3 linked regions of the Lonchura striata genome follow. The protein of the gene in region 3 purifies or fractionates together with the protein of the main gene of each other region. This does not show direct contact. Links are inferred from orthologs where the notes say so. Each region holds a gene or a part of one and is shown on either strand. Other genes may lie near its edges.

The links.
Region 1: the proteins of ENG (region 3) and ACVRL1 purify together in Homo sapiens (affinity purification with western blotting; 3 studies listed by BioGRID and IntAct, with this or other methods). This does not show direct contact. The link is inferred for Lonchura striata from reciprocal best matches to the Homo sapiens genes ENG and ACVRL1.
Region 2: the proteins of ENG (region 3) and TGFBR1 purify together in Homo sapiens (affinity purification with western blotting; 5 studies listed by BioGRID and IntAct, with this or other methods). This does not show direct contact. The link is inferred for Lonchura striata from reciprocal best matches to the Homo sapiens genes ENG and TGFBR1.

Annotation. Positions count from the first base shown.
Region 1 is NC_134629.1:6,228,459-6,238,899, reverse strand, and holds the start of ACVRL1 (activin receptor type-1-like), read left to right. Parts: upstream 1-6,430; 5' UTR 6,431-6,680; intron 6,681-10,441. UniProt on the Homo sapiens protein: Type I receptor for TGF-beta family ligands BMP9/GDF2 and BMP10 and important regulator of normal blood vessel development. On ligand binding, forms a receptor complex consisting of two type II and two type I transmembrane serine/threonine kinases.
Region 2 is NC_134603.1:84,464,190-84,474,690, reverse strand, and holds the start of TGFBR1 (TGF-beta receptor type-1), read right to left. Parts: upstream 4,993-10,501; 5' UTR 4,907-4,992; coding exon 4,828-4,906; intron 1-4,827. UniProt on the Homo sapiens protein: Transmembrane serine/threonine kinase forming with the TGF-beta type II serine/threonine kinase receptor, TGFBR2, the non-promiscuous receptor for the TGF-beta cytokines TGFB1, TGFB2 and TGFB3.
Region 3 is NC_134624.1:717,347-727,876, forward strand, and holds the start of ENG (endoglin), read right to left. Parts: upstream 3,955-10,530; 5' UTR 3,878-3,954; coding exon 3,820-3,877; intron 1-3,819. Other genes in the region: AK1 (adenylate kinase isoenzyme 1), read right to left, coding at 6,671-6,736, 7,016-7,207, 7,735-7,851, 8,051-8,214, 9,326-9,361, 10,400-10,409. UniProt on the Homo sapiens protein: Vascular endothelium glycoprotein that plays an important role in the regulation of angiogenesis. Required for normal structure and integrity of adult vasculature. Regulates the migration of vascular endothelial cells.

The sequences.
Region 1 (10,441 bases), on a different chromosome or scaffold from region 3:
TAAACAAAAGGCAGAGCTAGGATTTTACAGGTCTTTATTTTGGCAGGCTGCATGACAAACACCTCTTCCGGGACTGTGACGCCTTTTGGGGAATGGCAGAGAACGGAGGCAAAAGGTGCCGGGAGCCCTTTTACGTTCCCTTCAGCCTCTGCAGCTGCTCCGCTGGTTTCAGGGCACTTGCTTGGTTCGTTCCTAGAGAAAAAGGCTAGGGCATGATTTTCAGAACTACTGCCCGTCCCCAGTCAGAGTTTCCTACATTCCTGGGTACAAATGAGTGGATGGAGTGGATGGATGCTGTCCAGCAGTGTCCCCAGGGGCATCTAGAGTGTTCACACTGCTGAGCTGAGAAAAACTCACCAAACCCAGCTGAGGGGCCTGTGATCCTCCACCCACCCGGGGGAACTCCAGGCGCTGTAAACAGAGGCCACAGCACACACCAGGCTCTGCTGTGCCCGGTGAGGAGTCTCTGTATGAGCCCTGAGCCCTGGCATCGCCTCCCAAACACCACAGAGACCTCTTGTGTCATCAGAGAAAAGCCCTGGAGCAAACGTGTGTCCCCAGCACGATCAACAAGGGATGCAGAATTACCTCCTCAATAAAAACGCTGTTTCTGATGGAAATGTTACCTCTGTCGACTGCGAGGATTTTATAGGAATACTGGCTCAAGAATTCAGTGACTTCAGGGATTCCATACCACAGGTTCCTGGGACTGCTTGGGCATCCAGAGCCTATAGTATTGGTTAAACTGGTAGAGCTGAGGATACTTAGCAGCTTTGTCACAGAGCTGGAACGTCAAGCAGGGAGCAAGGGGTTCTCTCAGAGAGTGCAGGAGGCCAGTGAAAACAGCACCAAGGTCCTCCACGACGTCTGCTCCTAGAAAAGCCAAATAAATTAAACTATTGACATGAGCACGGACACTGGGGCAACCCTCCTTACTTTGGGCCTTGCCAGCAGCCCACGGAGCCTCACGCAGAAAAGAACTGATCGAGATCAAAAAGTGTTCCTAGTGACTTAGACAGGTGCTCCTGGCTGCTGAGGTACCTGAAAAACCCTCCAGACATCATCAGCTCTTGCTGAAGCAAATAATCCACATTCACCGTGTTGTGCCAAAAACACGCCCGGCCCTTAACAGGGAGAGACCCTGCCTCAGAGAAGAACCGAGCTGTACTGGGGAGACACACCCAGCCAACGTGTATGAGTTAAACAGAATTTTCTCTCAGAACTGGGACTTTCAGCACCCCCCAGGTGCAACTCGACTGCCACATACACACAGAAGGCTTCGTGAGGTGCTCTGGGGTTGGCCAGTCCTGCTCCAAGCCCTGCTGATGCCCCTGTGGTTTTAAGGATGTCCTCAAGGAGGTGGTAGAACCTCACAGTGTTTGCCCCTGGAGCTCAATTTCTGAAGTTTTCCTTGGGAAACGCACCCACTTCCTACTTAACAAGGCAGTCCCCTCTCCCTGCTCTCGGGAAGAGCTGCCCACGGGAACCACCTTCCTCTCCTGATTGCCACGCTCTGCCCTTAAAACGCTGTGTTACTGAGGCCAGCTATTTCCAGGCCAAGACTGTCCATGCAGGGACAGTGTCCCTTCTCTTCAGGGTCAGGGGAAAAGGGCAGAAGCACCTACAGAGCTTCAATGCCCCTCTTGAGCACAAAGCACCGTGAATCTGCACCTCCTGCTGCTTGCAGGGAAGATAATAAAATGCCTCAAGGTAAAAAATGATAAATGGTAAAAAATTATTACAAGAGGGTAGAAATGATGCCGCTTTCACTCCACTGCTAGAAATGACACATAAAACATAAAAAAAACCCTGTACCTGTTCCATTTTCAGACTGAAACAACAGCATATTCCTGGCTGCTCATGCAGCAGGGACAACAGCACTGAAGGGAAATGTTTGGATAATCACGTCTTCATTTAAAGAGAACCCAATTCCTTCATCTAAGCCATCACTGCCCTCCATCAGAACAGCCAGCACATCCACGACATCTAATAAGTGAAGGAAAAAATGTAAGCAGAGGATCCAGACTGACTGGGAAAACAACAGAGGTAGAATGCAACATTCCAGGAACACAAGGTAGCTTTTTAGTCACAAAAATTTAAAAAAAAAAAAAAAAAAAAAAAAAACTAAAGAAAAAAAAAACAAAAAAACCCAAAAAACCCCAAAGGCACATTTGCCAGTCAATACAATGTTAGGGGCAGCACAAAAATCACAGCTGTTCTTCACTCTGCCTTTCAAAGCTGCTGTCCAGCACAGGTTGCCCAGAGAAGCTGTGGCTGCCCCCGGATCCCTGGAAGTGTCCAAGGCCAGGCTGGACAGGGCTTGGAGCACCCTGGCATGGTGGAAGGTGTCCCTGCCCATGGCAGGGGTGGAACGGGACGAGCTTTAAAAAAAGGTGCCTTCCCATCCAAACCCTTCTGGGATTCCACGATTCTGTGAGCAGCCCCAGGCAGAAGGGCTCAATTTCCATTGTGGTCCGGAAATGCTGCTGCAAGAGCACAAACAGATTTCAAATACTGTTCAAGTGGCACAACCACATCAAAAATTACGTCTGGGGGTAAAGCGGCAACTCTGCAATTCCAGCCTCTGATACCGAGGACACATGGAGGGCTGAATCCGGGGGGAGTTCGGGGTCCGAGTCAGGGTCGTCCTCATGAGCCACCAGCCTGGGGACCCAAAAATCGGGGGGAACCCCAAATTGGGGGGTGACACAAAATTGGGGGGGTCCTGGGGGGCTCTGGAAGGTCTTTGCAGCATCCCAGGAGGAATTTTGGGGTGTCAGGGGGTTTTTGGGGAGTCGTGAAGGGAATTTAGGGGGTCTCAGGGAATTTTTGGGGGGTCCCAGGAGGAATTTTGGGGACCCTGATGGGAATTTTGGGGGTCCCAGGGGGGGGTTGAGGTCCTGGAGGGAATTTTGGGGGGGTCTCAGGCAGTTTTTGGGGTCCCAGGAGGAATTTCAGGGGTCCTAAAGGGAAATTTGGCGGTCCCAGGAGGTGTTTTGGGGTCCTGAAGGGAATTTTGGGCCTCCTGGGAGGGTTTTGGAGTCCTGGGGAGAATTTTGGGGGTCTCAGGGGGTTTTTGGGAGAAATTTTGGGGGTCCCGAGTAGAATTTAGGGGGTCCTGGGGGAGGTTTTGGGGTTCTGAAGGGAATTTTGGGGTCTCAAGGAGTTTTGGGAGGTCCCAGAAGGAATTTTGGGGACCCTGATGGGAATTTTGGGGCTCCCAGGGGGGGTTTTGGGGTCCTGAAGGGAATTTTGGGAGTCCTGGGGGGGTTGGAGTCCTGGGGAGAATTTTGGGGGTCTCAGGGGGTTTTTGGGAGGAATTTCGGGGGTCCTGAGTAGAATTTTGGGGGTCCTGGGGGGGGTTTGGTGTCCCTCCCCTACACAGCCCTTTGTCTAACCCTTAAACAATGGGGTGCCAGATTTTCATTTCCAAGATAATTAACAGTCTTTCCCCTGGCAAACAGGAATTGTGCTTCCAAAATTGCAAACAGTGAATGATTTCTCGCAGACCACAGCTGCCAACACCAGGAACTCTCACTGCCTTTGGAGAGCAGCACGCCTCCAGTGAACACACATCAACACACAGGGAGGGTGAGGTTGGTTTTACACGGAAAAAGGGCAGAGGTCGGGTCACAAGGCCGGTGGCCCCAAGTGACTTTCTACATCTTTTTGTTCTGAATGGCACAGGATTTATCCAGGAGCAAAACTGCTGCCAGCAAGAATTCTGCCTGTCCTGGAAGAGACAAGCACCTCCTCGACATGGACATCAGGAAGTGAAGAGGGTGAGCCATGTTTCACACAGAATAGGGCCAGCGACAGAGTCCAAGAGCCAGGGGCCATGAAAGAAGGGCCGCCCCCTGAAAATCTGAATGCAGAAGGATGTCTTGTGGACCCAAGCTGCCCTCATGTCGATGAGGGGTTGCCTTGAAGATCCCAAGCACAACTCGCAAACTGACTTCAGGAACCTGGACTGGTGAGTTTTCTTTCCCAGGGAAAATGGCCAAAGGATGTGCCCAGGGGCCCCTGGCCCCGACTGCAAAGAATCCTTATATCGAAGGATGGACCCCACACCGAAGTTGTCCCCACCTCAAACTTGTGCTGCCCTGATAGACCCAAGGGAGCCCTACAAACTGACATCAGGAACCTGGACTGGTGAGTTTTCTTTCCCACGGAAAAGGGCCAAAGGATGTGCCCAGGCTCCGGGAGGGTTTGGGAGGATTTGGGAGGCTTCGGGAGCGTTTGGGAGGATTTGGGATGCTCCAGGTGGCTCCGGGCGGCTCCAGAAGGGTTTGGGATGGTCTGGGAGGGTTTGGGAGGCTCCGGGAGGGTTTGGGAGGTTCCTCCATCTTGTTCCCTTTGGACCCCTAATCTAGAACCCTAAAATTTTACTTTTGCACACTTAATTATTACTTATATCAAGCCTTCAGAGTTTGTAACTACAGTGAAACATGGAGGGCATGAAGAAGAAAAAGGACAAAACACATCCAATTTCCTCAATCTTGTCCCCTTTGAACCCCTTATCTAGAATACTAAAATTTTACTTTTGCACCTGTGCCATGCTTAATTATCACTTCTATCAAACCCTCAGAGCTGGTAATTCATGCTGTGAGATTGAAAACTCTTTTCCATGGACAGAGATCACAGCCAGTGTCTCTGGGGGCTCTGTCCAAGGGGGTTCCTGAGCCCTGCCAGGGTGCCAGGGCAGCCAGGGACTTTCTGTGCCCTCCCAGGTGAGCAGGGCACAGGAAAAGGTTTCCAAAATTCATTGCTAGCACCGAGCTTGCGGAACATCACTTTTCTGCCCAAACCCGGCCGGCAGAAAGGCAGGGATGGGTTTTGGGATGGCGCGGGGGGAGAATCGGGGGGGGGCTGAGATTGGGGGGGCTGAAAGAACAACCCTGAAAGTGGCAGAACGGGAAGCGGCGCTTCCGCCGCCCAGGGCCCCGCGGGCTCCGCGGGAGGGAAGTGCCCGGCCCCAGCCGTGGGAACGGCGCCGCCAGCGAGGTCCCAGTGCCGGGCACGGGGCAGCGGGGACAGCGGGGACGTGCCAGTGCAGGGCTCCCGTGGGCACCGTGCCCTGCTCTGTGCCCTGCTCCATGCCCTGCTCCATGCCCACCGTGCCCTGCTCCGTGTCCTGCTCCGTGCCCTGCTCTGTGGCCACTGTGCCCTGCTCCATGCCCTGCTCCATGCCCACCGTGCCCTGCTCTGTGCCTTTCTCCGTGCCCACTGTGCCCTGCTCCATTCCCTGTTCCATGCCCTGCTCCGAGTCCACTGTGCCCTGCTCTGTGCCCACCATTCCCTGCTCCGTTCCCTGCTCCGTGCCCTGCTCCATGCCCTGCTCCATGCCCAGCGTGCCCTGCTCCGTGCCTTCCTCTGTGCCCACTGTGCCCTGCCCCGTGCGCTGCTCCATGCCCACCGTGCCCTGCTCCATGCCCTGCTCCGTGCCCACCGCACCCTGCTCTGTGCCCTGTTCCATTCCCTGTTCTGTGCCCACCGTGTCCTGCTCCATGCCCTGCTCTGAGCCAAACGTGCCCTGATCCAAGCCCACTGTGCCCTGCTCCGGGCCCACCATGCCCACCATGCCCTGCTCCGTGCCCTGTTCCATGCCCACCGTGCCTTTCTCCGTGCCCTGTTCCATGCCCACCGTGCCTCCAGGTGCTGACCATCAGGACTCCAGGTGTTCACCATCAGGACTCCAGGTGTTGATCGTTGGGACTCCAGGTGCTGACCATCAGGTGCTGATCATCTTGGGTAAACGACCCAAGATGGATCTCATGGAAATGCTCAGACAGATCCATGTGAATGCAGCATTCCCGTAAATCTCACCAGGGATTCACCTACTCCGGACACTGAATTATTCCTCCTCATCACCAAAAAAAAAGAAAATCTTATTAATAAGCTATGGACTCTGAATCGAAGAAAAGACTGCTTGCTGAAATCTTGGCCTCAGGCGGAATTTTCCCTATAAAAACCGAATTTTCCCTATAAAAACCACTTGTGCCAGGATGGAGGTGTGTGGGCATGGGGGAAAACCTCTGCTGAGGCTGACTCCGTGTTGCACACCCAGGGTCAATCCCCGGGCTTGGCTCTGTCTTTTTCCATGGCTGGCTAGATAGAATTTGACCACTAATAAAATAATTTTTTATTTTTAATCTGTCTGAATCAAATCTCATTCATAACACCACGAAAGCCGGGAAATCGGGTGGGAAAGCGCTGGGGGGGAAGGACGGGGAGGGAGCAACAGTCCAGGGAGGGCGAGCAGGATGGAGCTGGGGCCCGGTGAGCGGGAGGAAGGGAGGCCGGTGGTGGCTGTGTGCTCAGCAATAGGAAATGCTTTATTAGCTGGGAGTGGTGGAGACAAGCCAGGCAGGAAGAGGCAGTAATAAGAAACATTTTTTTTTTTGGACTTCTCCCACATCCAGAGAGTAGAGCAGCTGCCGAGCGGCCGTGTTGGAGCCCCTCAGCAGGGGAAGGGTGACAATCCCTCCCCCAGCGGGACAGGCGCGGCCGTGGGAGCCCCAGGGTGGCAGGATGGGTGCTGGGAGTGGAGCAGATCCATGAAAATCCTCCAAGTTGGGGCTGAGGAGCAAAACTTCCCCGGCTGAGGTGGATCCAGGAGCGGGAGAGCCCCGCCAGGGCCGGGAGGTGCCGTGGGATCCTGCAGGACCTGGATGCTGGAGGTGAGCGGGGAAGAGCTTCGTGCTCCTGGGGTCTGGGGGTGCACCCAGCTCAGGGCTTCCTTCCCTCCTAATTTGTTAGAAATGAAAATTTATTCAGCCAAATTAAAAAAAATAAGAGTAGTTTTATTTGTGGTCAAATTTTATTTAGCCAGCTATGAATAAAACCACGGTGCCGAGCTCGGGGATCGACCCTGGGTGTGCGACAAGGAGTCAGCCTCAGGAGAAGTTTTCCCCTGATTCTCACACACCTCCATCCTGGCACAAGTGGTTTTTATGGGGAAAATTCGGTTTTTATAGGGAAAATTCCGTCTGAGGCCAAGATTTCGGCAATCAGTCTTTTCTTTTATTTAGAGTCATGTTAATAAGATTTTCTCATTTGGAGATGAGGGAGAATAATTCAGTGTCCAGGAGTTGTCGAATCCCGTGATGAAATTTATGGGAAGGCTGCATTCACATGGATCTGTCTGAGGATTTCCATGAGATCCATCCTGGGTCCATGAGATCCATCCCAAGTCCATGAGATCCATCTCAGGTCTGTGATATCCATCCCAGGTCCATGAGATCCATCCCAGGTCCATGAGATCCATCCCAGGTCCATGATATCCATCCCAGGTCCATGAGATCCATCTCAGGTCCATGAGATCCATCCCGGGTCCATGGGGAATTTGGGTGTATTTTGAAAAGGACTGGGGAAAAAACAGGGAAGGTTGACAGCTCTGAGGGCTGCACTGGGCACCAGGGGCACAGAAAGTGGCACCTCCTGCTAATAAAAGGGTTTTTAAATCGTGGGGATTTAGGGTTAAAAGGAAAAATCATCTTAGCAGGTCCTGGAAAAATCAATTCCTTAAGCACATGGAGAACTCAGACTCGCTAGACCTGCACTGTGTAGCTAGGACATGATAATTGATATAATTGTTAGATGTGATGATTGTCTAGTAATTAAATATAATTATTGTTTAATCATGAGAAACTGTGGTCAGTGAGCTAAGAAAGATGACGAGAAACTCGTGTCAGTGTATACAATAGAACAATATAAGTTTAATAATTAATATGTGAGTTACGTAAGGATAGAATATAAAATATCAGCTCGAAATGGGTGTCGGAGTCAGATTTGGGTCTGTACCCCTGATTCCCAGACCTCTCAATATAAGCACTGCAAATAAGGATATCCTGTGATTATTTGTGTTCCTAAACAATGTAAATTTACTAATTAATATGCAAATGAATATCTAAGTTATATAAGGATAAAATATAAAATATGTTTAGCTTGAAAGCCGTGTCGGAGGCAGATAATGATATTCTGTGATTCTGTGTGCTCCTGAACGCTGACATGTCGAGCAGGGGTTGCCACTTTCCTGAGTGGGTTTGCCACTCTCCTGAGTGGGTTTGCTGCTCTCCTGAGCAGGTTTTGCCACTCTAATGAGTGGATTTGCCACTTTCCTCAGTGGGTTTTGCCACTTTCCTGAGTGGGTTTGCTGCTCTCCTGAGTGGATTTGCCACTCTAATGAGTGGATTTGCCACTCTCTTGAGTGGGTTTGCCACTCTCCTGAGTGGGTTTGCCACTCTCCTCAGTGGGTTTTGCTGCTCTCCTGAGTGGGTTTTGCTGCTCTCTTTATGTGCTGCACCTCCGTGGAGTGGAAATGCCTCTCAGTGAGAGGCTGGTGGGGTGGGCTGGAGGGCGAGCACAGCCTTTGCTGCCTCTGTGACCCCCCTGCAGCCGCAGAGAGGGCAAGGAAACCTCCAGCTGTGCCCAAAACCAGGCTCGGGGACCTGGCCAAGCTCCGGGCAGCTCTGCCCTGGCATCCCTGCCTGGCACCGGCGGTGGCACGAGGGGCTGGGCTGCTGTGAGAACCTTGGGTTTGGTTTGGGGTCTGGTGTGGTGGAAAAGTCTCTCCTCTAATCCGTGCATCCAAAGAAAAATTCTGCAGCCTTTTGTTGTTGGGTCTCAAGACAGTTTATTGCGAGTTCTCTAAAAGATTTTCATCTCTGGCTGCTGTGGTTTGCTCAGCAGCTCAGGCAGAGGCACACACAAACTCCTGTCACCCTCTCTGTCTGCTGTCTTCTTCTTCTCTCCCCCCACCCAGGGCTGCTGCTAGCTTTTATATGATATATTACGTATTACATGTTTATAGTTTTCCCCCAATACCTACTACCTGTGTTACAAAGTGCTTTTCTACTCTAATCTGTGAGTGCCAACATCACCAAGAACATGGAGGCAAGGAAGAAGAAGGAGGAAGAACAGGATCAGCCCACTTTCTTTCATCTTAGAACTTCTGACCCCCATGTATAAAATAACAAGCCCCCTGTACAGGTACTAAAACCCTCTTGTACAATACTAAAACAATTTTTCCCTCTGTTTTGTAACTACTTTTACTATGCTATCTAACCTTTTATGACTGCTTGTTCCACCTTCAAAGTTGGTAACTCATTCCATGGCTCAAACTCAAAATCTCAGCTGTTTCCAGCTGCCTGCCAGGGTCTAAAATGCTTCTGAGCAAGGCCTGGAACTTCTGAAAATGTCTGAGGGACATTCGGAGTTCCCACAGGCTGCCCTGAAAAGGCAGCACAGGGAACTGAGCCCTGAGCCACATCCCGTGGCTGAAGCCCCTGTCAGCAGCAGAACCTGCAGGGGAGGAGGAAGAGCTGGGGTTGAGGAGCCCGGCCAGGCTGCCCTGGTCAGAGCAGGGACCCCTGAGCCTCCCTGCACACCCCAGAGCTGTGCCCAGCCACCCTTCCCTGGGCTCCCTTGGTTTTCTGCTCTATTTTCCCTTTGCTTTTCCCTCCAGGGGTTTGATGGGGAAATTCCCCTTCCCTGGGGTTTGCTCCAGAGCCTTCCCTGCACTCCTTTTCTGCTCTATTTTCCTTTTGCTTTTCCCTGCAGGGGTTTGATGAGGAAATTCCCCTTCCCCGGGTTTGCTCCAGACCCTTCCCTGCACTCCTTTGGTTTTCTGCTCTATTTTCCCTCCAGGGGTTTGATGAGGAAATTCTCCTTCCCTGGGGTTTGCTCCAGACTCTTCCCTGCACTCCTTTTCTGCTCTATTTTCCCTTTGCTTTTCCCTCCAGAGTTTTGATGAGGAAATTCCCCTTCCCCAGGGTTTGCTCCAGACCCTTCCCTGCTCTCATAACAACCACAACCCACGGGATATTTCGGATATTTCGTTACACAGCAGAGTTTTGGGTGAGGCCCTGCTTGCTTTGTGTTTCATGGCAAATATCCTGCAGCTGTCTAACGGTTCAGGATTTTGGGGAAGTGGCTCCAGGGAAGGAATTCACCACCTGGGAGCCTCAGCTTCCCTTTCCAATCATCCTGCAGCTCTCAGGACTGCAAGAAGCGTGGTGCTGGTGCTCAGCAATCAGCAGCCCAGCTCGGAGAGGGTTGAGTTTTAAGATAAAGAGAAATTTTTAAGATCAAGCAGATCCTAGGGGAGTTGGGATTTTAAAACAAAGCTGATCCTGCCCCAGCCAGGGTCAGATGGATCAGCCTGGCATCACTCCTCCACCGGGCACCAAGGTCCTGCCCTCCATCCCCAGTGACCCCAGGATCTGATCACTGCTTCCTCCCCTCCAGCCACAACCCAGTGAGTTATTTTGGGGAGGAAAAACCCGATTTGCAGCGCGGCTGGAGCCTGCCGGGGTCAGCCACGTCCCCGGGCTTGCGTGACTACGCTTCCCCATCAAGGCCAGAATCTAAACAATCTTGATTCCTGTCCCAGCAGCGCTGGGCTGGGCTCTTCAATTGCAGGAAACTGAGTTTTTGGCAT
Region 2 (10,501 bases), on a different chromosome or scaffold from region 3:
CTGCCACACATATCGGAATGATTTCCTCGGCATAAATAAATCATTAGTCCCTTCTGAAGCTACTCTCCCCCTCCCATAAGAGGCCTAAACAATGCCTAGTCAGCTGAATAGTAAAGCTTCTAGGAATACAGGTTTTTGCTGCTCTCTAGTGGACACACTCTTAAAAAAAGAAATAAAACAGCTCGTTAAAAATGCTTCAGTCCTCTTCCAACTCTGGCCACTTAACAACTCTTCATGCCTTCCAACTCGAGCAAGTAACAATAGAATTTCCATGTTTTAGTAAAAGGTAGACTAATTCAGCATTTTCAGCAACAATCCATACCAAGAGGTAAAAATATGGAATCAGAATATCCTTGCCCATATCTCATTCGCCAGTTATCTGTGTGTAAAGAACATAAACTACAACTACACGAACACATCATAGATGAGATTTAACATCAGCATGAGGTGTCAATGACCAACTAGAGTTAAATTACTTAATTCCTATAAGGAAGCATTTTCACTTATAACTGATATAAAAGAAAATCCCATACTGTTGTCCTCTTGGAGATCGAATTTTTTGCTTTTCATCCAAGTAGTTTCTGTTATTATCAAAGAAATGTTACAGTAATTTAAAAAACTCGGACAGAAATCAGTCATATCTCCAAGTTCACTTTAATAAATACACACATTTCTATTATGGAATGATAGCAGAAAGGGATGAGAAACTGACAACTCTGATGTAAGCTGACCTTCTAGAGCCAGTAATCTCTCAGGGAAAATGCATTTCAATGCATTTGGTAAACACAGTTTAAATCTACTACCACGAAAAGCACTTTAAAAACTACTGAAGAAGAGTAAAAAAGTACTCAATCCAATCTGTCCTTGGCAGAGAACTATTTTTTAAAAAAAATTATTATAACAGTTTTTGGATTGAACCATTAGCATGAAGGTCCACTACCGACTAGTTAAAGTTCATGTCTGTTTAAATGATACAAGGTTGGGGAAATGACAATACAAACAGATAAACAAATGCCCTGGAAATCATACAATCAGGGATGTAGCCAAGAGCAGAAATTGGGTCAACACAGCAATGTAGTTCCTTGTGCATTACATTTTGTCACTGCCATTCTACATAGTAATTTCTGCTTTTTGAGACTGACTACCCTAAAAGAATCAGTGAGACAATGCTGTTGTGAAAGTGAGGGTGTGTGCATTATGACATTATCACATCGTACAAGTTATCAACAGCATATTTCTCATATCACAAGATTAACATCTTGTGTTGAATACCATTACTTGTGTAGTTGCTCAAACTCCGAGTTTGACAGTTTTGCCTTTCCTTTACCAAGTCTCTCTTGCATGAATGTTGCAGTCTGGAAGCCCCCAGTGAGAGTAAAGCAAGCTGGCTGCATGAATGAAACCCTGAAATTATGCAGCTTGACAAGACTTAAAATTAGCTGGCCGAGATATTAACACTACATACAAAATGTGAACAGAGAATTAAGTACACTCTAACCACTTAACTTTTACAAATCTGAATCAAAACCAGACTGTTACCTACTGAAACAGGTTTTTTTGTATATGCTGTCTATCTGAAGAAAGAAAATTACTGAAAAACTTTTTTAGTTACATAAAACCCTATGAATCACTATGTAACATTTGTTTACATCCTGCATCACTTCTTCAACCAGACAGTTTAGCACAGAACACCACCTTCAGCCAAAGAATTTATAGATGGAAATTTTAAGCTGAGACATTGTCTTCCAAAGGATGCTAACAAGGAGCAGTACAGAAGTTAAAACTTGTGAAGTGCTCTAAAAAAACCTCAAACTCACATCTTACTGCAAACAATTAACAATTTCACATTGTTAATACTTTATTTAATACTATATTTTTGCTTTACAAATTTAAAAAAGACAAATAGTCACAGCACCCAAAAGCAACATTTTGCTAAAAAAGACACTTCTCTTGAAGACATTACCACTGTTCCTACATGAATATTACAAATTTTGAAGCCAAAACGTCACCAGAAAGCAGAACTTCATCAGAAGAGCAATCACAATTCTTGGTTCCATAAGATGCAGAGTTTCGAGGGAATAAAGGAGCAAGGCTATTATGTGCAAGAGACAAAACCACATTTTTAGGGATATGAGCAAAAGGGTTTCATGCTCACTGGTAGCTCTTTCCCTGTCCAATAACACTTGCCAAAGGAAAAAAAGAATAATACATAACAGTGCAAATGTCAGCTTCTGAGTCTAATTCAGACAATCGCCTCAAACAATACACCTGACTCATCTCTGAACTCTTTTAGCTCAAGATACAAAAAGGTTTCAATCTTAAAATATCTGGGACATAGGTACAGTTTTTAAAATCACAATACTTTATGGCCTCCACTAACACATTCTTCTCACAAAGGCAATAATTAAAAGTTTCACTGTTGTAACAGCACCGGGTATCAAGTTTTCAGGAAAACTTTCACATAGATTTCATCCATCTTCCTTCTTGCAAACAGCAGGTCTTGTCAAACAAAGTGATGCACTCAAGAAAACAGATAAATTACTATTAAGTACCCACAACTTGTAAATAGCGATAAAATCTTGTGTAAAATCCCAACTTCACAAAAGTGATATTATATTCTGTGCAATGTAGGAGCCAAATGGCACTTTTAGTTTTCTTGACATCTATCAAAAACACTACCCAGAGATATATGTTCATGCCTCTTAGAGCATAATACAGTAACAATTTGTTTCTTCTCTGGTAGAAGAATAAGCTTTAAAAAAACCCAAACTAACAGAAGAAAGCTAAATTTAAAAGCCCAGATCATAATTTTACAAGCATTATGACAACAGAAGGATCTTTATTTGTACTTTTAAATTTATTCCACCATATTAATCAGATTGTTATCTTTATTTGCAGTTAGAAGCAATTGTCTGAATTCAAGAATTTTCAAGTGGTGACTCCCCAGAACTTCAGAAGACTAAAGACTATGGCGTACACAGTGAAAACCAGAAAGCCTATTTTCAGACTCTGTCTTAAAAATTAAGGCTGTTCAACTGTTCAGCTAGCTGCTGGGATTCATTACATACCTGACCTCCATATAAACCGTATCACAAGATGACTCATCCACACAGTAACACCAGCACATTGCAGAACAGCCCCAGCAGAGGCAACCAGAAATTGCCCAACTTCTGTCAACTCACAGTAAGAAGTACCAGTACCCAAATCATACCTTGAACTACTCTATCAACTTAGACCATAATGTTCAGGCAAATTACCTGCCTCACCCATACCAGGGCCTCTGGATGAGCTATGGATCATGAATCCTGGATTTCTTCCAATTCCATTGAACAGAGAGGATTTATCTTTTATTAAACAAAAGGTAGCACACCATCACTTCCACCCATAAGGTTTTGTATGGAAGTCTGTTGCCTTGTTTTCACACAAAGCTTTTAGACCTTAATTTCATGCTTCAGATTAAGGGAAAACTGTTGGATTGATGGGAGGCATTAAAAGGGAAAAAGTTCAAAGCTCAAATTGAACTAAAATTTCCTTCAACTACTAAATTGAATGTGTTACATAAGAAAGCTTTAAATTATTAAAGCCTGCCGCACCTTTTCAAGAACATAAGAACAACCCATGGGTAACTTAAGCTTATTTCAGTGTTTCCACATCAGAGATCTTGCATCGCCTTCAGTAAGAATATGTGTGATTAACACTACATGTTAATACAGCAAGTGATGCTTTAAGTAGCTTTTTTTTCACCATGACTACCATTTTAGATTGAATTATATACAGCATGGTATAGATCCAGACTGAGGGATTTCTTAAAGCTGTAACCGAAAAAGTTGTGGTGCTTCTCCACTTCCTTTTTAAAATCCAAAGCAATATACAATCCATTAGGCCATATGTCCCAAACTGCTAACCGCAGAACAACCTGCACATTCAAAAAAAAAAAAAAAAAAACAAAACGAAAAAAGAAAACCACCCAAATCTTCCATTTATGAATGCTGTCAAGCACTCCCAATGTTTCTTGCACTAGCTCTGCAACAGCATAGTCTGATATCAAATCTCTCGCAAAAAAGCACAGGTACAGGAGACTGGAGAACACAACCGTTTCGCTGTACAACATTCACCCGAAGATTTCATTTCCACACGGCTCGACCCGCACCGAGCACACAGGCGAGGGCGTGCTGGACCAAAAGTTCGCCTGTCCCCCCAGCACCGTGACAGCAGCACACGGTGCTGCAGCGCGCAGCACAGCGGGGGCAGCCCCCTGTCACCTCCGCGACGTGGGACATTCAACACGTCTCTGCCCCGCCGCTCCTCCCGGGCACCACTACGAGCGCCCTGCGGCGGCCCGGGGGCTGCCGCTCCCGCCGCTGCCGGGCACCCCGCCCGGGAGCTCCCAGGAGCTGGCGGACAGATAGACAGGGGAGCTCCGGCAGCTCCAGGAGCCTCAGCTGCCTTCGCGGGCCAAGGCCACACGCACCCCCCCGGGCGGACATCAGGATAGAAAGTTAACGCGGGCAGACATCGCCCGAAGCGCTGCTCAGCCGGGCCGAGGAAGTAGCGGCGGGGCCCGAGGGGACCCTTCCCGCCGCCCCTCCCGCGGAGCCGCCGCCGCTCTCGGCCAACAAAGGGCCGAGCGGTCCCCGCCGGGCTCGGACACCGGGGGTGGGGGGAAGGTGACTCCGCCCCAGCCGGCCCCTCCGCCATGTTGTTGAAAGGAACCGGCGGGGATCCGCCGCCCCCCGCCGATCTCCCCACGCACCCCCACACGCCGCTCCGGACACCACCGCCGCGCCCGCCGCCTCTCTCCGCTCCCGCGCCCCCCTGCGCACTCACCGCCCACCGCGGGGCAGAGCAGCGAGGCCGCAGCCAGGCACAGCAGGGCCCAGGGACGCCGCCGAGTAGCCGCTGCCATGTCCTGGCCGCGACTCCCCGGAGCCGGGATCCGCCTCGCGACGCGCGCCCGCTCCGCCCGCCCAGGGACCGGCGCGGCGCCCGCGCTGCGTGCGCCCTCCCGGCCCGCTCCGGCCGCGAATGCCGCCGACGCGGCGGCGGCGGCGCCGCCTGATTGGTCGCTGCGCCCCGGCCCCGCCCCGCGGCGGCCGCGGGCAGCCCCGACAACAACAGGCGGCGGGAGCGGGGCGCGACCTGCGCGGCGGCGGCGCGGGGCGGGGCGGTGGCACCCCCTCCCGGCGGGTGAGAACGGCAGAGCGGCCGCTCTGTCCCCTCGATGCCGCTCCCGAAGGGGCTCGAGCGGGCTTGGAGTTTCCCTGCGTCCGGGTGCTGCGAGAGCGCTCGGGTTAGCGGCTGAGGCGCTGCCAGCAGCGAGGAGGGAGCGCTGGCAGCGCTGCACTGCGCGGAGTCCCGGGAGCATCGGCTCCGATGGAAGGCAGGTGCGGGGGCCTGTGGGCAGCCCTCGAGTTGCCTCCGGAGAGGAGGAAAGCAGCGGGAGCGGAGGAATTGCTCCTCCTGGGAGGCGCTGCGAGTGGGCAGGCGGAGCGTGCGGAGCCCCGGGCGGTCGCGGCGGGGCCGCAGCGCAGGGGCAGCTCCCGCTCCTTGCCCGCGGCACGGGACCGCCCGGCGCTCCCGCGGCAGCCCCGCGGCCGCTCCGCCGTCCCGCAGCGGAGGGTTTTCCCTCGCCTCAGCGGCAGTCTCAGCGCTCAGCTCACAGGCTTTGTCCCCGTGCGAGGGAAGAGCGGTGCCAGGCGACAGGTGTAGCTGCCAGCTTATTGCACAGCCTGCGCTTAACTTCAGGAGTTAACTGGGAATCGCAGACTCGTGCAGTCCGAATACCCGTCGGAGGTACACCTTGAATCTTAAATCCTGGGGCAACTAGGATGTACCTCGTGAGGAAAATGACCGTGACTGAGGTTGTTACTTCTATCCACCACTTTATTAGCTTTGCATGGGTGGCAGAGTAGGAGGAGAGGCTCTCTTCTTCCCTCTTGGGATCAGGTAACGATTCTCCCAGCAGTTACCTGATTGCTCTGGGAATCCGCCCCCTCCCCCCCCCCTCGCCCCCCCCGCTCAAATATCTGACTGTTGTGTCCAGACCCTGAATCAGTTCAGAATCTCTCAGCATATGCCTTTATACTCCTTTTGTTGCTTATTTTGCATGGAGTGTGACCCTCCCGTCATAGGCAAAGTCACAAAGATCACAGGTGTTCTTCCACATTACTTGCAGTTGCTCTTGCAAGCCCCGTGCCCTGTCTTTGCCAAATGGTGCCTTCCCAGCTTGCAGTGCTCAGGACAGCACCCTTCCCACTCTCCAGGACCACATTCACTGTCACGGCACACTGATCTGCTGCCTCCATTTTACTAGCAGTTGTTCAGCCAATACTGCTTTTATAAAAAAGTCTTGTTTCTCCTACAGTACACTTCACCTGGGTAAGAATTTTGATGTCATAGTTCAAAGTGAGGTAAATATTTATTAATTAATTCTCTTTCTGTTTCTCTTTGAACAATGATCAGTGTCATGCATAAACATATCCTAGTTATATTTTCTCTCACAAAATAACATTTTAATGACATGCACTTAATGTCAGATGTTGAACCAAATGTCTGGATTTCATATAGATTCATGCTGTAATGAACTACTGAAGCTGACAACACCAGGCAAACATGTTCTTAGTTATCCATACATAGAAATATGTAGAGGGCTGATCCTCAACTAAATGTATTAGCGTCAGAAAGAAACACTGAAGCACTCAGTTAAATTTCTCAAATCCTGAGACATCTTTTAAATTCATATTGAGCATTGAAACTATAAATTAAGAAAATTATGCTCAGGGGAAAAAAATCTACTATTCATTTCCCCATTGCAGATCTCCTGGGTTTAGGGATGGGTCACAGACTATATCTCTGAAGGAAGGCAGAGACCAGTAAGCAGAGCATGCTGAAGGATTTCTTTTCAGGGCTCCAAGTTCAGTTCTATGTGGAACATTTTGAATTAACATCCTGAGTGACATTTGGCTGACAGACACAGAAAAATTAAAATAAATCAATAACTTGCTGGTATCAACTCACCAGCTAAGATGGATTCAGGTCCAATAGTGCCAACTACAAAGGAGTTTTTTTTTGCCAGGCTTCACTCTTCTTCCATATCACTCATGAGGTAAAGACCACTACAGAAGAAATACCTAAAATTATGTCATCCCCTGTCCTGAAGCCTGGGTACCTCTCTCTGATCTTATGTATGCTAGATGTAAAAGCCAAAGTAAATGTGGACAGAAGCATAGCTACCAAAATGGGTTCTGCATGTCCAGAATCTCCCCGTTTCTCGCTATTTTTCCACATATCCAGGTTCTTAGGACTGCCTCTTCTGGTCTTGATTAAGGCGGGGTCCAAGAACTTCTGATTATGATACAGACTCTTGATATTCAATGGGCTCTGGTAGACATTTGGGTCTTGTTCTTGTTGGTACCTTCCCCTGTTAGCTCCCCCTTATCACTGTAAGATTCATCCTGGTGTTTTTCCATCATCTTTCTTCTGCTGTTACTCCTGCTGTAAGTTCCCCTTTTCCAATATTTAGGTCTTCCCCTTCCTTCTTATGAGCTTCATAACTGCTTTTGGTGCAGCAGGAGCTTTGCTCATCTGGGCAGTACCTGGCTTCTTTAGGGGGGGCTATAGGAGAGGTACTTGGATTCACTGGTTGAGATGCAAAGTAATTCATGTCACATGCCCTGTTTGGTAACAACAAAATTACCTTTGTTTTTGCTATAAAAATAGAGCAATTAAATAAAAACGACAATATAAAAATGATGACCTGAAAATATTTAATTCATTGGTTCCTCCCTATGTCTGCAAACAAATTGAATGCCAGTCCAAAGGTAGTGAGGACATCTTGATGCTTGCATCTTACGATTTTCATCCTCTAAACATGCTAGTTAGTCAAGTGGGGCTAAGTCAGAAAATGACACAATCAGTGAAACAGTTTCAATATATGCTTTCCTATAAAGTGACATTTTGTTTAAGAAGAAAATAACTGTTCTATGATCACAGATTCTTCAAAATTGCAATAATTGCTTGGCCTTTTCCTGCCAAAGCATGAAAAAACTATTTCACAGTACAAATCTGCCAAGTTCAATAGAAAACAATGCATGACCATTGTATGGTTACGACATTTTAACTGGATGAATTAAATATAATTTTTCAGTATTTCCTGTAAAGGAACGCTTAAAAGAACTTCTTACGAACTGCAATCCTCAGTGCTTACTGAGGATGGAAATAATGTCATCAGTGGACATAAATTTAAAAGAACAGGCAACCCCCCCATTTTTCCTAGCCTCATTTTTCTAATAAATGAATGATTTCATAACATAATTATATTCCAATTATAGAAATATGCAGCAATAATAATAATTTTTTTTAATGCAAGGTAGAACACAAAGCAAGGTGACACAGAAAAACCAAACTATCTGGATTTATGAGATTTGTTTAAATCATCAGATTGGTTTTTAGACTGAGTAAATCAGGTTATTACACAGCGAATATCTGCAATTTAAACACTGATTAATTTCTTTCTTCTGTACTAGAATGTGACAGTCATACACATGCGCAGCACCCACAGGGAGAGAGAATGAAATAATTAATCTTTACCTAGGGCTGCTTTTATTTTCTGCAAGAATTATTGTCAGTGTACGAACACTTCTTATGGTTTTATTTTCTCTTCTGGAAGATGGAAAACAAAATAATTGCAACTGCATGAATGTTTCAAATGGAACTCTGTACTACTGGAACTCTGTACTCCACAAAGAAAAAAACTATGTAGGGCATTGAAATAAAAGACATTTTGGAAAGGAGCAAGTGGATAGAGAGACAATTATACAAACCAATTTGTTCTATAGGTTAGTCTTTGAGAAAGATTTATAATATGAATATAATGATTTAGTTCCAAAAATGGGAACCAATAAATATTTTTTCCCTTAGGTCTTAAAGTAAAAATATATGGAATTGTGATAGGAAATAATATTAATGGTGATGACTAAAAGTTTTATTTGTCTTTTGGTTTAGAAGGTACTGTATCAGGCTAATAAATAATCTTTCTCTCACAAACAGTGTATGCACAATTAGTCCTAAAGCAATAAAAATGAAGGTGCTGTAAAAACTAAATTTTTACAGCTTTCTATCCCTAATAAGTAGCTAAACGTTACATTTGTTTGTTTGGAAGAACTATTCAGTGCATCATGATAATTACAAATTACTTTGACCAAGGAACTTAGCAAGAGGAAAAGTACTGAATGTGTAACATTTACCAAAATAGAGTAAGTTACTGAAAAAACCCCAACATTGCCCTCCCCACCTAGCCCTTGATTTTTGGAAACAGTTTTACTCAAACTGGGACAGAAAGTATCAAAGTGCTTATTAGTGTGCAGTTTCTGGATGTACACAAACCAGAAGTTTCACAAAGGCCTGTGATCTTTCTAAATCAGAGACAAGCAAAAGAAATCACTTTTTTGAAGTCACTGCTTTATAAAACACTCAGAACTAGTCATTTCATAACCTTTTCAAACATTGCCTGATTTGACTCATCAATGTTTCCAGAACTAAATACTGTGAGATCTTAGTTATTGAGCACCCAGTTAATTATCTCCTTTAACTGAAGGCTAGTTACAGTTTAAGGTGTATGAAGCCCTTTCTGCTTTTAATTCACTGTGGAACACTTTATATCCCAGGCTTACGTGCTGGGCAGCCCAGCAATGCACCACATCGGGATGCAGCTGCTTGATCCCTGCAGCTAACACCCACCTTATCTCCCAGATAATGGATTTGTGGGCATGGCATAGTGTCCTAAGTTCTTTAAGCAGATCTCAGTGACAAGAATGAAACCTCTTAAACTTGGTGTTTCATTCTAGCTTGTAGAGTCCATCAGCTGTCAAGCTTGTTTATTACATGTGTCTTGATGCAGCTTCACTTGAAATCAGGTATGATCTACTCAAAGAGAGCAGTGTTGACTGTAAGTCTCCTTACAGAGAGATCTGTAAGAAGATCTGATTTATGCTGAAAGTAGGGAAGATGCATATAGTCCAAGACATGCTGCTAAACACAGCAGTGACTAGGAAGACTAAATAGCTTAGGGAGTGGCTGCCAGAAGTAAAAAGGCTGACATCAAGCATGTCTGGAAATTACTTGAGACTGTTTGTCATTATCTGTTTGAAGGCCTTAATTGCTGAAGTAACTCTCTAACTCTGCTAACTCTGAAGTGGCAAGGGCATCTCACCTACAACTACAGCAAAGGATACTTGTGTTAAAGTAGCTTGCCTCTAATTAAGAAAGTATATTTCTTTTCTTGGTGTGGTACAGGTTTTGCGGGCTTGGATGCTACTCATTCCAGTTTGATGGTGCAAGTAATAACGCATATCATTCTGCTGCTCAAGGGAAGTAATTTTCCTCCAGAGACTGGACTCAGTTTTGCCTAGAGTGGGGAAAGAGCACCTTTTGTAACCCAGCAAAAGTTAATGTGTTTCTGGCAATGCACAGATCATGAGGTTTTCCTACTGTAATTCTCTGT
Region 3 (10,530 bases):
TGGAAAAATCCGCTGTCCCTGCTCGGCACTGCTGCGTGCCAAAACTCGCACCCGGCCGCCCCGAAGGCTGGGGCGGTGGCGGAAGCCCCCCCCGCATCCCCCGGGCGCAGGAAAGTGGGAAGCGCAGGTATGGAAATGGTGTAAGGCTCATCCTCCGCGGGCGCTGGGGCGTGAGCTCTGCCCCATCCCAAAGCCCCCGGCGGCGTGCGGCGAGCGGGGCTGGCCGGCGGCTGCCAAGGGAAATCCTGAGCGCAAACAGCCATTTGAAGGCCTGATCCTGTCAATCCCCACGTGCCTCGACAGTTTCCTCCGCCTCAGGCAGCCCTGCTGTGGCCGGGCTGTCCTTAACTTGGCCCCGAGGAACCGTCTGCATCCATGGGTGCTCCATTCCAGGGGGCTGGGAAGGACAGACCCCCCTGGTCACAGCTGGGTTTCCATGGACTTTGGGGAGACAGTGCCTGGGATGTTGTGTTTCCTTTGGAGATGGCCACCGAGTTCTATCCCTTCCCACTCCAACTTTTCCCATCCCTGCTGGCTCCAGCCAATGCACCGGGAGGTGGCTGGACCGCACTCCCGGTCCATCCAGCCAGCCCCACCGGGACTTGGGGCTAGAGGGTGCAATGCTCCAGGTCATCGAGTTTTTGGGACACAGCACCCGGCAAAGGGCCGTTCCTTCCAAGTCGTGCCTCTCACGTTGTCCCTGACCTGCGCCTCGCCGGTGGGGTGGCCGGGCTGTGGCGGCGGCGGGGTCACGGCACGGACCCCCGGAGACGCTGCCGTGGGCCCATTTATTGTCCGGTGCTTCCTCCCCCCCGGCGCGGCGGCCGCGCGGCCGGCAGCATCGGGAGGAAGATAAACAGCCGCTTATCTGGGCGCCACAGGCTGCGTCCCTCTTCCCTTCCACCCCTGCCCCGACGGCCCCGGGCACGGCCGCGCGGCCCCGGCGCTGCTGGGCAGGGGCCGGGCAGCTCCTCGCTCCTCGGGCATCGCATGCCCTGCGAGGTCAGGCAGGGCTGGGGGCCGCGGCTGGGCTCGCCCTGGCAGGGCAGGGATGCCAGCGGAGGGGATGCGGGGCAGTGGTGCCAGTCGGGCACTGTCTGTCCCTGGGGAAGGCAGCGGGCTCCAGCATTATGTCAGGATCAGATAAGGGGGCTCAGCTGGGCCGCCGGGGCGATCAGATAAGGGCACTGTTATTTTTGTACTCCAGGAAAGGGAAAAAAAAATAAAAGGAAGAAAGAAAGAAAATCCACTTGATGTTTTTCCAACCTGCATTCTCCCTTGGTTTGGTGCCACTGGGATCAGGGCACAGGGATGGTCCCACTGTGGCTCCCCACAGTGTGGGTCAGGGGCTGGGGGAGAAATTCCTGGGTTTTGGGAGCAGAGAACAAAGCTGGGGTGTGGGATGCAGGGCAAGGGTGGCTCTGGCAGTGCAGGATGCCCATGGGATGGGCAGCACCGCTTTGGCATCCTTGCATTTGGTGGTGTTGCCTCAGCACTTGTGTAATGAGCTGATCCAGGGCAGGAATGGGGATGGGTCCTGCACTGAGAGGGAACTGTCATCCTCTGAGCCCCTGCTGGCTGTTGGACCATGCTGAGGTGGCACTGGGATGCAGATGATGGTGTGCATGGGTCCAGGCTTCAGGCTTGACATAAGCCACATCATTCCTGCCACTCTCTGAGTCAGACAGGTGCCAAGAAGCCTCTCCTCACAGATGGGAGGTGAGACCCAGCACCCCATGGGGAGCAGTGCTGGCCCCTGTCAAGGGGGCACAAAATCCCCCACCTCTGGAAGCTGTCTGTGTCTGTGAGACACCCTGACACTGCACCCACCAAAAGCACCCCAGTCCCACACCACTGCAGCCACCATGGACAGCCCAGTCCCAGAGCACTGTGCCCACTGCGGGCATCCCAATTCCATGGCACTGCACCCACTGTGGGCTCCCAGCCCCAGAGGTTCCTGTGAGGAAGAAGCAGCAACTGAACAGGATGTGGTGAGTAGCACAGGTAGGGAGGATGGGCACCACGTGTCACAGCCACGCAGGGCATGGACCATAAAGCGCAGACACTCAGGATGGGAACACATGGCACAGCTACATAGGACAGTGACAATATGGCACGGTCACACAGGATGGGGTCCATATAGCACAGCTGCATACCCTAGGGGTGGTATGGCCACAGAGAGGGTCTGTTTGTGTGGCAGGGTGACACAGCACAGGGACCATACAGACACATGCAATAGGGACCGTACAGCTCCGTTACACAGCACAGGGACTGTGTGCCACAGCTACGTTGGATGGGGATCATACAGCACAGTCAAATAGCACAGGGACCATAGAAACAGACATTCAGGATGGGGACTATATGGCACAGCTATGTAGGACTCAGCCCATATAGCACAGCCCTGTTAGGGAATGTATGGCACAGCCATACAGGGGACAAATACAAAGGTCATGGACACATGGCACCGCTACACAGGACACAGGTGACATTGCACAGCTGTGTAGGATGAGGACCAGACAGCACAGCTGTGTGGTATAGGGACTATACATCATACACAGGGAGGACAAGGCCTCTGTGCCACAGCAGCACAGGATGTGGAGCATATGGCACGGTTATAGGATGGGGACTGTACAAGAAAGCTACAGAGGACACAGACCTTACTGCACATCTACATAGGACAGGGACACCACAGCACTGCCCTAGGGCAGGGGCTGTGGCACAGCTATGGGATGGGCACCGAGCCTCACAGTTACACAGGACACAGGACTAACTGTGCATCTACAAGGATGGAGACTGTATGGCACAACTACAGGGGACACGGCCCCCACGGCACAGCCTCACCGGACAAGCACAGCCACCAGTCAGGGTTGTGATGTAAGAGTGGGTATCAAGCCTGGCAGTGGGGCCACCCCAGCACCATCCATGAGCACTGGCCCCCGAGGTGACCAGGAGGGACCAACCCAGCCGGGACACTCAGTGCTGCTGGCCCCAGCCTCTCCGGGCGGCTGCTGCCTCCCCAGTCCCCTTGTTCCCTTCCCCCTGCCAGCAGGCTATGTCCCCAAGTCCCCCAGCTCCCCGTCCCCCAGCTCCATCAGCACTGGCATCCCTCCCTGAAATTCCCTATGTGGCTTTGTAGGGATCTCAGGGTGGCTCTGACTGCTCCAGAGGTGTCTAAGCCCCCAACTCCCATTTGCGGCTTTAAGGGTTTTTTCCCATCTCTCACCCCCAGCTCCATCCCCACATTCCATGTGAGGTTTAAAGGGTTTTTCCCATCTCTCACCCCCAGCTCCATCCCCACATTCCATGTGAGGTTTAAAGGGTTTTTCCCATCTCTCACCCCCAGCTCCATCCCCACATTCCATGTGAGGTTTAAGGGTTTGCTCCCATTTCTCATCCCCATCTCCTGGTCAACCCCTCCATACTCCGAGGTGACAGGGACCAAAGCCACCCCAGACCCGCCGTGTGCCACCGTTTAGGCCAGGACTCGGTCACGGCGTCTTCACCACCTCCCACGCCCCAGTGACGCAGCCGGGATTTCGGGGGTCCCAGGGAGCGGCAGGGCTGTGCTGTGTGTGTTCCGGGAATCGGGGTGGCTTTATCCCTCCCCACTGGACGCTGCTCCCCAAAACCTCCTCTCCCGGAGGGTTCCCGGGGGTGACAATCTCTGCCTGTGCGGGCACAGCCGGGACCCCTTCGGCCACCGATCCGCAGTCACCGGCGGGTCCCGCCGCGGCGCCTGTCCCGTCCCGGGGGTCCCGTCCCGCTGTCGCATCCCGCGGGTCTCATCCCCGGTGCCCGGTTCCCCCGGTCCCCACTCACCCGGGCGGCCGAGCAGCGCCAGGAGCAGCGGCAGGAGCGGGACGGAGCGGGGGCCCATGTCCGCCTGCGGCCGCTCCCCGGGAGCCAGCGCCGAGTGCGGGCGGCGGCAGCGGCAGGAAACCGACTCCCTTCGGAGGAGGGTCCGCGGCGGAGGAAATGCCGCTGGCGGCGCTGGGGCCGGGCCGGCGGGGCCGGGGGGGGGCGGAGAGGATGGACCCCCCCTCCCCCGGAGGCGCCGTGCCTCAGTTTCCCTACAGCGCCGTGCGGGGCTGCACCTCCGGAGGGGCGCGCTGGAAGCGCCCTGGGCAGGGCGCTGGTACCCGGGGTAGGGCCCCCAGGGCCTCCCAGGGCTGGCAGTAGTGAGTGGAGGGGTTGGACACAGGGATTCTGGTGGTGTCCATCCACCCAAATATTCCCGGGGTGCTGCCAGTGATAGGGATGGGGAGCTGCCCAGCCGATGGGGAAGGGGCTGCCCCCGACATTCAGCCCCTACTGCTCCCATCCAGCACCCATGCAAGGTCACATGTGTCAGGCTGGTGGCCGCCCCATGGCCCCGGATGCCCCTTAGCGTTACTGCTGCCTTGCCTGACCCTTGGCCAGGCCACAGATGGGGCTGCCCGGACACCCCTACCTGGCAGGTGGGCTTGGGGTCAGGAGATCCCTTGCGACAAGGGGGCCTTGGTGAGGGCAAGGGTGTCACAGCTGGGCACTGCCGAAGGGGCACCAGGGACCCCCTTCTGCACTCCTGCTCCGTTCCTCCCCACACCTCTGCTGGCCGAGATGAGAGCCCTCACACAGCTATCAGTGGGGCTGGGACCCTCACACCGGGGGTGGGTGCAGGTCCTCAGACCCTGACACCAGGGCTGGTTTTCATCTTGACTCATGGTTCACGGGCATGGGGACAGAATGGAAACGAGCCAGGGAAGTCAGCGACGCCTGTCCCCAGCAGCCAGGATGTCCCCGGAGATGTCGGTGAGCCGGGGTGAGCAGCAACCATCTCCCATGACAGAGCACTGCCATCTCCTGGGGACCGCGGGGACGGGTGCTCACCCGGGGATGGGGACTGGCACCCAGCACGGGATCCTCTGAGTCCCTCGCACCCTTCTCCCCGCGGTGATGCCACAGGACAACAACCAAGTGATGGACAGTGAGATGGTGGCAGCCACAGTGTGACAAGAGGGTGGCCGTGGCGGTGGGGTGGCCACATGTACAGCCCCCTGCACCCCATTTGGCCCAGCATCTTCCCCTGCACAGCATATGGGATGGCCTTGAGATTTCAAACCAAAGAGCATCTAAACCTCAACACCAAGCACTCAGGGCCGTACTGGGGAGCAGGGCAGGGTCCCTGTCCCACTCCCTGCCCTGGAGAAACTGAGGCACACTCACAGCACACCCACAGAGGGCTGGAGGCACAAGAGAGATGTGTCTCCCCACTCCCCAGTTTTAGGCTGTGGTGTCCCAAACCACACGACCCCTCTGCCCCCCGTCTCCAGCAGCACGAGGCGAGCACTGGCCGGCCCCAGCCCTGGATCGCTGTCCTGGCAGTGTCCCAGCCCCGGCCGGATGGCTGCATCCTTCCTGCCCGCCTGCCTTCCCTCAGTGCCCCAGGCTCTGCCCACGGCTCGTGGCCCCGGAGCACGGGGCTGACGTCGGGCTGACTGGTGAGTTTGGGTTTTCGTCTCGGAGAGTTTTGTTTTTTCCCTGCTGGCTTCCTTTCTCCACTCTGACTCCTTGGCCTCGTGGCCTTGGCTGACCCCAACGCTGCCGCCCCTCCTGCCCTCCCAGCGCCCTGGCTCTGTGCCCAGCTCCCGGCAGCCCAAAAGTAAGTGGTGGGGGGCCCTGTTGGGGTTGGAGCTGTGCTACCTCCTGCCCTCACTGTGGCTGGGTAGAAACCACCCCCAAGCTCCACTGCAGCCCCTCTGCTATGGTGCTGTGCCTGTGTGGTTCTGTGGGTGCTGGGGAGCCCCCACATCCCCCACACCAGCACCCCCACCCAAATGTCTGTTGGGGTCCTGTGACTCACCACCATGAGGGCACCCAGCCAGGAGGACACCCAGCCTGGTGGCTGGGCTCGTCTGTATGTCCCCAGCATATTCCTTATCCCCTGGGGTTGGGGCTGAGCAGTGAGTGTCCAGGCTGTGAGAGTCCGGGCACAGCAGGACAGGGAACACCCCACTCCAGGGCATTGTGCCACCACAAACCATCACCGTGCAGCCACTGCGTACCCCAAAAAACCCTGACAGCCAACAGAAACAAGGAAATGCCAAGGCATGAAAGTGGTGGAAATCCCCATCCCGAATCCGGTCGCCTCCAGCCGCTGGCAGGCAGTGGGAGTGCTGAGACGCATGTGCAGGACACGACTCAGAAGCTGCCTGTGTGTCCGGAGACACACCCAGAGCACAAGGGGGTTCAGAAATAGGGACAGAACGAGGGCAGCCAGGACTGGCTGGAGGATGCAGGCGCAGGCTCCCTCCAGGCCACGGATTGGGAAGCCGGGGCGAGTGGCTGGGATGCTCCCTCCCTTCCTCTGAGCGCAGCATCCCGCTGCCCCGGCGGGATAAACACCCACTTCCTGCCCTTAATCAGCTCCAGAGGGGCTGGGGGGAGGACAGAGAGGGAGAGAAAAAAAAAAAAAACCAAAACGCTGGAAAGAAAAACTCATTTCCTGCGACAGAAGAAAAAGATAAAGTCTGGATTCATTAAAGTGAACTTTACTGGGGAGAGACGGGAAAGAGCCAAACACAATGTCCTTGAAATTTCCTCCGCACGGCTCCGTCCACGAAAACAGGATAAAGCCGCTTCCGCTGTCTCTGCTGGAGTGCACCGGGGGGATTTGGGGCTGGGGGTTCGGTTACAGGCAGTCGAGGTGGGTGCAGACCTGCTGGAAAACCTCCTCCACAGAGCCCTCGGCGTTGAGCTGGGTACAGAGGGGTTAGCTGGGGGACTTGCCCAAGGGCTCTCCCTCGAGAGCAACTGGAACTCTCCCAAGGATGCATTTTGGCCATGGGTGAAGAGACCACAAAGAAGTGAGCCATCCTTGGAGGGGGTTGTGTCGGGAATGAGAGGGGTCAGGCCCACCCCAAACTAGGCAGGATTGAGTTTTCCTGCTTCCCTCATCATCCCCATCCATCACTTCCCCTCCCCTGGGACACAAGCCCCAAGCTGTGGGGCTGGCCTCAGCCGCATTCCCGCTTACCTGGCGGACGATGCCTCTGCTCTGGTAGAAGGCAATGACAGGCTCAGTGGCCTTATAGTAGGTCTCCAAACGCTTCTTGATGGTCTCCTCGTTGTCATCCACCCTCCCGCTGGTCTCTCCTCGCTTCAGCAGGCGTTTCACCATTGTGTCCTTCCCCGCATCCACGTAGAGCAGCAGCGTGGGGGGCGCGATCTGTGGACAGAGGGGACGTGGCTGTCAGCACACTGAGTTGGCGTGGCTCTGGTTTGCTTTGGCAGGATTGTGGTGGTCAGCATGAGGGTCAGTCACAGATGTCCCCACACCACCCTCTGCCTCCCTCCACAGGGGTCTGGGGGTGAGCAGGACACAGGGATGTTCCCACACCATCTCCTGCCTCCCACCACTTTGGTCTGGGAGCCACCAGGACACTGTTCCAGTGGCCTCCAGGGCCACACAGAGGAAGGCAAAGGGACACTGCAGCCAAACCCTGGCTCTCTGCCATCACCATCATGTCAGCACTGTTGTCACACGCTCTGTCAGCCTGAGGACACCCTGGTCCCTCCCACTGTGCTCTGGGCACAGGCTGTCCCCGAGGCAGGGGGTCCTGCTGCCCAGTTTGGACCCTTCTGGGATGTGATCTCTGCTGGGATGGGGAGCCCAGGCTGCTGCTGGATTGAGTGCCTGTGCTAAGCTGGTGTGTGGCATGGCCCAGCATAGCACAGCACTGCACCATTCCTCACCTTCTTTTCAAACTCCTCTCCCTGTTTCACCTCGCGGGGGTATCCGTCGATCAGGAAGCCCTTGGACACATCTGCTTTGGCCACCATGGCATCCCGCAGCATGTCCAGCACCGTGTCCTGCAGCGGGGAGCACAGAGCTGCCACGGCTGGTATGGGACAACAGGACTCCCAGGCAGCATCCCCAGTCCCCGCTGCAAACCCCACCCTGGGACGGCAGGGCCAGAGATGCCTGAGCCACGTGCCAGCCATTAGTGTGGTGGCCCCACTGATACCCCCACACCCCACCATGTGGCAGCTGGTGCTGGTAGGGACTTACCAGGGGCACCAGCTCTCCCTTCTCCATGATGGCCTGCAGCTTCTTGCCCCGCTCCGAGCCCGAGCTGACCTCTGCCCGCAGCAGGTCCCCCGTGGAGAGGTGGGTGTAGCCATACTTCTGCACGATCTTCTCACACTGTGTCCCCTTCCCTGAGCCAGGGCCACCTGCAAGGCACGAGTGTGCCCTGAGCTGTGGGAATCCAGGGCTTCCCTCTGGCTGCCCTGGGACCCTGGCAGGGGTCAGGAACCCCCCTGGACAGAGCCCCCAGAGACACTGCCTGTGATCTCTGGCCATGGAAAAGAGTTTTCAATCTTACAGGATGAATTACAAGCTCTGAGTGTTTGATATAAGTAATAATTAAGTGTGGCACGGGTACAAAAGTAAAATTTTAGGATTCTAGATAAGGGGTCCAAAGGGCACAAGATGGAGGAAATTGGGTGTGTCTTGTCCTTTTTCTCCTTCTTCATGCCCTCCATATCTCACTGTGGTGTTGGCATTTTTCTGTTGGTTCAGGCTGGGGACACACTGTCCAACGTAGGTGACAGATATTGGCACGTTATTGTAAACCCAGCCCAGGGAGTTTCTGGTATTTAATGTTTGTCACATCCCACTGAGGGCAGAGCCCCACACGCTGCCCTGCAGGACAGAGCTGGGCAGGGCAGCAGAATATGTGAGAGATAAACAGAATAAAAAACCTGGGAACCAGCACAGACCAATTATGGCTTCTTCTTTGGCAATGGGGCAGAAAGACAGAGACTTTCTACAATTTCAGAATCATCAATACCTCAGATTCTGACACCGAGCCACGGGTAAGGAGAGGGAGGGGTACACGGAGCAGCAGCGCAGACACACACAAGTCCCCAGAGCTCGGTGACACGTCACTTGGTGTCCCCAAGCCCAGCACCAAGTGGATGGACAGAGCTCCTCTTGAGGTTTCCCAAATGCTTGGGAGTGGCATGGGCTGCTGGGAATTGGCATATGGGCACCACACCCTGATGGCACCCAGGGCATCACCACCCAGGGTTTTGTCACATTTCCTCCCAGGGGTTTACTGTCACATCACCCCAAATGCTGCCACCCCATGCCTGGCCAGAGGTGCCCTCCTGGTCCCAGCATACCCCACGTGGACTCGAGCAGCCAAGCTGGAGCCACGGCCATCCCACAGTGCCTGGGAATAGCCCAGTCTCAGCCTCCAGCCCTGTTTCCCCAGCCTAGAGGTACAGGGAAAAGGCCTGGGCTGACCCCACCAGTGACAGGACCCAGACACAGACTTACCCACCACAAAGATGATTTTGTGCTGCTTGAGCTTTTCTGGAAAAAAGAAAGGAAAAAAAATTATCCAAAGCCAAAAGGTCCATCAGGGAGTGAGGTGTCCCCAGGGGGTGCCAAATCCAGGGCAGGCATCCCTGGGGATAGAGGGGACCGATCCAGGAGAGTCCTGGGGGGAAGATGGAGAGGGAAGCAGACGTGTGTCCTGGTCACCTGGGCAGGTTGGGATGTCTGGCCACGTCTGAGCACAAAGACCCCATGGCACCTTGGCCTGGGGCTGGAATTCCCGTGCCACGTGGTGTCCCAGAGGTGGTCATTGTCCATGGCTCCACTGCAGGCAGGGACTGGCCTCATCCATCCCTGTGGCTGGCTTCTCACCCCGCTGGGCTAACTGGGGCCGTGGCAGGCTCAGCTTGGCACGGCCACCTCGAGCACCTGGCACAACCCCAGCAGTCCCTGGACCCCAGCATCAGTCCCTGGACTGGTGGCCGACGTGCAAGTGGCACTGAGCGCCCGTCCCCTGCCCAGCACCCTGGCACAGGGCTCTCACCACCTGTGGAGTCTGTGCACCAGCCGTGGTGTGGGGTGATGCCAGGGGGTGATGCCGAAGGGGGAAGCAGAGCTAAAAATAAAGTTGGGCTGCTCTGGGGCCACTTTCCCATCTCCTGATTACAGCTGGATGAAATTTCAACTCCTTGGCACCCAGCACTCCCCAGAGCTGGGGACGGAGCCAAGTGTCTGGCAGGGACCAATGGGATGTGGGGCATGTGGGGGGGCTGGAGGGACATGGGGGATGGACAGAAGGGAGGGAGGCAAGGACACAGGGGCACGTGGAGGGGGGGAATGCAAAGAGGACCAGGGGCTGCACGTAACGGGGACAAATGCAGGGGGGCAGAGGCAGGGAGGGAAGGGGGATGCAGAGGGGGTGGATGCAGGGAGGACCAAAGGGGATTAATTCCAGGGGGGATTGATGCAAGGAAAAGGATGCAAGGGAGACAGGGAGATGCAGAGGGAATGGATGCAGAGGACACAGAGGGGACGGATGCAGTTGGAATGCATGCAGGGAGATGGATCACTCACCTGCCGACATGGTGCCGCGGTCCAGGCACAGGAGCACTTAAGGCTGCCAGGAAAGAGCAGGATAAACAACTCAGCACATCAGGTCACCAAGAGTCTGGGAAGAAAAAGGGTCTCCTTTTTTGGCCGTGATG